Danio rerio: one gene and its partner. The protein of the gene in region 2 binds, or shares a complex with, the protein of the main gene of each other region. Links are inferred from orthologs where the notes say so. Each region holds a gene or a part of one and is shown on either strand. Other genes may lie near its edges.

Region 1 (3,166 bases), on a different chromosome or scaffold from region 2:
GAAGGCTTTGACACCAAGCGAAATGCTGTCGCTTCAGGGTGACTGAGGAAAGTTGAATGTGCTAGCCAGTTTGTAATTTAAATTAATATTTTAATGACCATAGGCTAGTTTTTGATTTTAATACTATCAGATTCCCATTTCTTTTTCTAATGATATATGGTGTAGTAAATTTATATTTAAAAAAAAAACAAAAGTATTGTTCCTCATATTTTCCTCATTCTAAATCGCTAGAAAATGTTTGTGGTACATCAAAAAGTGTGGTTATGATACCAACCGACAAGCTAATCCAGCCTAAAATGTCACTAAAAATGCAACCTATTTAAAACTCGTAATTAAATATAAAATGAGGTGAATATCTGCAAAATGGTCCACGTGAGAAAAAAAGAACCTGCCCTTTCACCAGGTTGGCTACGGGCCTGGATTCTGTAACCTTAACTGATGATGAGCATTTTGCAAAACATCATCAGGGTATGTACAACATGCCCATAACTAAACCATTATCAGAAAAAACCCAGCAGGAATACATACAGAGAGGAACGCAAGTTTAATCAAATATACGCTTCAAGACACTCACCCTCGAATGCATACACATCAGATCACACTAGCGAAACCAATACAAAAACACTTCATGCCTTTACGCTCTGACAAATCACTGGCTTTTCCACTTTAAATATGAAGATAATTTTTCAGATGAACCATCCAACGGCTTCTTGCATTTTTTCCCCAAAAAGCTGTCCGCCTGATGTTACACTTCACTATACAAAAGGCCCGAAATCAGCATTACAAAATGTGAAAAACAAAGCAAACACACAACACAGAAACTTCTGTAAGCAATCGACTGTACATGTGACATGGATGTAGTCTTTGGACAGCTTTAGCATGACTGTTTCTCCATGAACACTGAATCATCATCATCATCATCAGCTCTGAAACTCCCGAACGCACTGCTTTCTTTATTCATCAAGTGAACACAGTGTAACAGCATCCGTATATACATGGACAACGTTTAATCACAGTCGGATAGCAGTCTTTGACGTACAATCATAAACGCGACACATTTCACTCGACGACACAGCCAGTGACAAATCCAGAGTGGCTTAGCAGATATCTCCGAAGCAAAAAAAAAAAAAACTAAAAAATACAGTCCGCAAAATTTTCAGTTATATTCTTCAATGCACTGAACAGTCCAATAAATAACAGAACATGTTAATCAGCAAACGTAAATGACTTTGATAGTTAGTATCAATCGGCTATACAAACACTTCTTTATTAATATAATGGACGATGAGAGATGCTTGTTACTGAAGTGAAGAACCAAGTGTGAGAAATAGAAACGCAAGTTCTTTCATGGCTGTTTGTAACTGCATGCATGAAGCAAAGAAACGACGCAACTGAAAGGCAAGGGTATCGCAAACTATTAGCGGTGCAGGTTAAAAGTCAATACTTCTACAAACGAAAGACTACAAACGAAGACTACAAACGAAATAGGAAAAAATAAAAGTGAGGGGCTCTGTGGAAGCGTAGAATCCAACGATGAAGAGACAAGATAAATGTTAGAAGACTGACAGACACATACATGACCCTACTCTAGCACAGAGATTAATAAATATTAAATGTTTTAGACACAATCCATCTTGTTTAGAAAAAAAAAGAAAAAGAAAATCTCCATTCGTTAAAGGCCTCCAGATCCTTTGTTAGAAAAGTCCGTTCCGTTTCTTTGATCCCACACTGCGGTCCTGCATCCTGATTTGGGGGAGAAAAATGTACAGAAGCATGCCATTGGCTGAATTACTCAGCGTTGACCTAAATGAGGGAGTCCTCCAGGAGAAAGGTGTTAGTGTTTACTCCGTTGCCTGTTCTCTAATCATAGGTTGCTTTAATCAGTATACACGCAATTGTCCTGCACCTCTTTGGATGAAATTAGAAGATGAAGTTAGTCACGCTGAGTTTAAGGACAGTGATATCAAGCACAAAATCTTTTAGAGTGCAAAACAGAGGCTCAATCCTCCTGGACTCAAACAGCATGACAGACACACTCATAAATTTTGCATACACACACACACACACACACACACATCCATACATACATACATACATACATTCATTCATACATACATACATACATACATACAAGCATTCATTTTAAATCTCTTTGTCCCTCCCCCAGTAGTGGACTTCTTGTAAATGTCCTTATTTTGATCTTTTCAACTTCCTTTCAACATACACACACGTCCCTGTCCTGCAGTCTTGACAGGCTTATCTGGTGTAATAAACTCTGTAGTAGACGGTTTTAGACCTCCAGAGCGAGTAGGAGTTGTCGAACTTGAGTAAGTATATACCACGGCCGGGATACTGGTGACTCCCAGCATACACCTCTTCATGACAGTCCCGCCGGTAGACCGGCACGATCTCATCCACCTGCGGTTTCCCAGACTCCTTCTTGGCCTTCTCTTCCTCAGACTGGGCTTCACCTGAGGTCAAAACAACATGAATTCACTTTATTCAATAAATAAAAAAATGCACTTCAAACATATTTACATCCTGGCATAATATTTAAATAGTAATAGAATTAATTTACTTCGTATATAAAAATTTAATTATTATATATAATAGGTATATAATTTAATTTTATATATATATTTAATTTTATATAAATATTTAATTTTATATAAATATAAAATATAATTAAATGTCTAAATTTAATTAATTGTATAATATTATTAAATGTATATAATATTATATAAATATAATTAAATTTAAAATTAATAATCATATTTATTATTTAAAAATATAGCTCTCAAATGATTATTATTATAATTAATACATCAATACATTATTATTTTAAAAGTTGTACAGTAAAATAAAATCACTATTTCAATTCATAAAATCGAAAATTAATAAACATGTAATTTCATATTACATAACATATTCATTAATTAATATACATATCTGCGTTTAATGGAGACTATATTTATGAATTTCTTTGTTTTAATTTTCAATATAAAAAAGTGCTTGATGGAAATGTGTGACCGTTACCGATGCTGTGTCAAGTTGACAGATCATCAACTTTCACATGCAGAGCAGCTCATCACTGTCAGTTTCACAGAAGTGGACTAATCAGAAGAACTCAGTGGCAGAGTTTTGTTGCAAGTTTTTGTTTACAAGT
Region 2 (3,831 bases):
ACTATAATTTTTATATACTTTTCTGCAAGCACAGCCTCACCTTATCTTTTGAATTGAGCACGACGGCCTGCGTATGGGGCACGCGCACCACATGGTGGTCAAAGGCAGCAGTGGGCAGCCAGACCCGGGCAGGCAGCTTGTGGTTTAGTAGTGACAGCTCTGAGATGAGCCTCTGAGTCTTCTGCTCTTTAGTGGGCAGAGTGGCCAACCTCTTTCCAATCCCCATCAGAGACTTAATGAACTCCCTCTGAGGGGTCAGACGCACAGGCTGAGAGAGAAATGAAGTTGAGAGAGGAAATGAAAGATGAAGGGAAAAGAGAGAAACAACATTTTAACACAATGCAAAAAGATTTGCAGACTTAGCATTAAAAAAAGTTGCACAATACGTTGATACAAAATAAATAAATAAAAGTGAGTACCATTAAATTAATGGTACGATACTAATATAATGAAAAGTGCCATTTTTCCCTAAGCTAAAACTCCCATCTCAACTACATGGCAGATTATGTATGTATTTAAATTATTGTTGGTATTGTGTATGTAAACAAATATATAAACATGTACATCATTTTGAATTGATACTTGTGTATCAGAAATAGTACCGTACCAAAGTCTCTTTTTGGGACGAACTAATAAAATAAAATCAGTTACTGGATTTCTATGAATGTATGAGTTATTGCACAAGACCAATTTATTATTCAGCACAGGAATATGTGGAGCAGTGCTCAAATCTGCTTAAAAACAATCTGCATGCATGATCGGCACAGCATTCTAAACTCAAAGTGAAGCATGGACATAAAACAAATCAGAAATGGTGAGAGAGAGAGAGCGTTTTAGCAACAGCTGACCACAAGGGAAAGCAAGTGAGTCATGAATGGATAGCATCACCTGAAATGAGGAAAAAGTATTAAACACAAATAAATGAGGTCATCCAAGGACAGGAAAATGTGGAGAAAGACCCATCAAACTCCTCCACATGTGCGACCTGTGGCTCATAGATGTTAAAGGACACATGGATATCTGCAATCCATGTCGAAAGATTTGCAGAAACAAATGCCATCGTGAAATGATTTTAAGAACCAATAATGACACGATCCTTTGCAAATATGCAAAAGAACACCCAAAACACCAGTAGGAAAAACTCCTTCCACCAAATTAAAATACTTCACAGAGAATTTGCCTTTGCCATGTTTAAAATAAATAAATAAATAAATAAATCAATAAGAAACCAAAGGTCTTCCAGATGATCACGGAACCCAAAATAAATGTCACTGCCGCATATTTAAATAATATTAAAGTCAAAAACCTACACAAAGATTGATTAAAAAAAAGAAAAAGAAACCGAGAAGAAAACGTCACATCCAATTAACTGAATAAAGCTACAGCTAGAACAACCACACAAAGAACAAGTATTTGCAAGCATGCTACCAGTTCACGCATGAACACATTGCTCATATCACAATTCAAAATGGAGTCTTATTACTTATTTTGAAACGTAAAGGCTAGGGCTTGGCGATATTGCAAAAACGCAATCTTGATAATTATTTTCCATATTGAACGATATATATATATTCAATGCAAGTTGTTAATGCTTCTAGTTTTAAAAGAGTATCCAAACAATGACTAAAGCCACAAAGATTAGATGCTTCATTAAATAACATTTATAGTATCGTTTATTAACAAAAAGTTTACACATTACTCAGATTTTCTGTAATATACTCACAATAAAAAATATAATATTCTGAAGAACCCAGCCCTAATAACGGCCTACATCCACCAGAAAACTTATGTTATTAATAAAATAATGTCTGCACTAAACTTAAAGGAATATCTCAGGCAAAGATTCTCACTATTTACACAACTTAAAGTGGTTTTAAACCTTTATGGGTTTCTTTCTTCTGTTAAACACAATTAATATGGCTTTTTTTTTTTTTTTAAAAAAAAGCTGAGAGCCTGTAACCATTGACTTTCATAGTAGATATGTCTATATACAGGTTTCCATCAAACAAATGCTATGGAAGTCATTGGTTACAACTTTTCAAAAGATCTTTTCTTTTTAAAAGAAGTGTTACAGTCTGTGGGAGATTTTTGGATTTTTGTAGCTTTCTCCCTCTCCTTGTCTGTCATTCACCCCATCAACTTTTGTTCCGCTTTTTTTTCCCCCTGCCTTCACAGGTATCTGAATACAGAGATACCTTTTAGATGGATTGTTGGTTGGACCGACTGAGTAGCTTAACATAGACAAGGGAAAATTAAGACCCGTTTAAAATGATTTAAGACCTACAAAACCATATTTCAGTAAGTTTAAAACTTTAAGGCCTAGAATTTTGTTTTTAAAATTGGAGATATTTAAAGACTTTTTAAGACCCCTCGGACACCCTGAAAGACGTATAAAAGTCTAACCGGTTTGAAACAAGGATGAGTACATGATGAGTGATTTTCATTTTTGGCCAAACTATCCCTTTAAGATGGCTCCCAAACATTACAATAATAAAATCTGTTTTAAAACAAAAAGTTTGCAAAGACCAACTTTTTTTCCCCACCCAAAATGCTGTTAAAATTAACTACTCAAATTATGCTAACAGCAAAATAAAATGTATTTAGTTTCTCCAATATTATAAATGAAAATAAATTTAGCGATTTTTCACGTAAATTCACAGTTTTCCGTCTTCGTGACACTGAATAGCATGATGGCAAACCTTGAAGGCACACATTTGAAGGAATCTGTGGAGTCAACCCCGCCTGCAAACAGACACAGCCATCATCCCACAACGCACAGAGCAGCGTTTTTAGACGGTGAGAGACTTACTGTACCAGCCTCTAGCTCGAGACTGTCGGAGCTGGAGCTCAGATCCTGGGAAAATGAGGAGGAGGGAGTGCAAGAGCAGGGGAGGGTGGAAGGGGTCAGAACAAGACAAAAAACACAGCTCAAGGTTACACTCGTCCCATCTGTTTGAGCAGTAGGGCCTGGCCGGCCTGAAAATTTTTCTGTGTCATGTTTATCTCTAGCTGTGGATGGTGACTGGACTAATCTCTGAGAGCCGCTCTGATCAAACCCATGTAAAGCATCACGACTGATGTTGAGGACAAGCTGAGGAGGGATTACAGAAGACACACACACACGCACGCACACACACACACACACATACACGCGCATACACACACACACACCCTACAAGGCCACAGCTCATAGCTGGATTTGTTTTATCATCTACACATTAACATAAATCAGGCATGATTTAAAGGACCCATCATAAAGCCTTATCAAAAGAGTGAATAAAACATTTATAGCATTAGCAATAGTCAAGAATTGCCCAGTGAACACTCCCCATGATCCTCGATCATATGAATTGCTTAACAAAAGAACTTGTTGATTGGTAGATATTTAATGCTTAATGTACTGCAATGAAAAGCAGGAATTACATGCAATGGGTTTTTACAGTAGGTGTGTCAATGCCAACAAAATAACTGTCACTAGTCATAGCTGGTTAGAACATGCCATGCCTGGTTAAAATAGAGCTACACATGAAAACTTTCAGTAATATTAAGTTGGGCTGCACAATATATTGTTTCAGCATCCTTCGCATGGTATGATAACCATTTTCAAGGTATACCACCGTTGGAAAAGTCGAGGTTTTAAAAAAAATTGTGCTATACTGTTCCTAAAGTATGAGTAAGATTTTTTATAGTTTTTTTTTTAGGACAACAGTATCTCTAGCAGAAAAATATCCAAAGACTCAGTTTTAAAATGTAAAGAAATCTGTGTTTGAAACTAATAAAGACAGCAGAAGTCAATGATGCATTTAAATTATTTAACCTAACATGCTTACT

Evidence for each region.
Region 1: the proteins of pi4kb (region 2) and acbd3 are in contact, whole or in part, in an NMR structure (PDB 2N73), measured with the Homo sapiens proteins. The link is inferred for Danio rerio from reciprocal best matches to the Homo sapiens genes PI4KB and ACBD3. Residues at the interface, in NP_001317650.1 of Homo sapiens: Val37, Gly38, Val42, Ile43, Asp44, Pro45, Val47, Ala48, Gln49, Lys50, Ala51, Cys52, Glu54, Val55, Leu56, Val59, Lys60, His63; in NP_073572.2 of Homo sapiens: Gln245, Ile246, Ala249, Leu250, Gln253, Thr254, Gln257, Phe258, Tyr261, Gln265, Tyr266, Leu276, Leu280, Gln283, His284, Gln287, Tyr288, Gln291, Leu292, Val295.

Annotation. Positions count from the first base shown.
Region 1 is NC_133195.1:33,505,482-33,508,647, reverse strand, and holds the end of acbd3 (Golgi resident protein GCP60), read right to left. Parts: intron 2,472-3,166; coding exon 2,257-2,471; 3' UTR 526-2,256; downstream 1-525. UniProt on the Homo sapiens protein: Involved in the maintenance of Golgi structure by interacting with giantin, affecting protein transport between the endoplasmic reticulum and Golgi. Involved in hormone-induced steroid biosynthesis in testicular Leydig cells.
Region 2 is NC_133191.1:42,588,671-42,592,501, reverse strand, and holds part of pi4kb (phosphatidylinositol 4-kinase beta), read right to left. Parts: intron 2,855-3,831; coding exon 2,810-2,854; intron 269-2,809; coding exon 41-268; intron 1-40. UniProt on the Homo sapiens protein: Phosphorylates phosphatidylinositol (PI) in the first committed step in the production of the second messenger inositol-1,4,5,-trisphosphate (PIP). May regulate Golgi disintegration/reorganization during mitosis, possibly via its phosphorylation.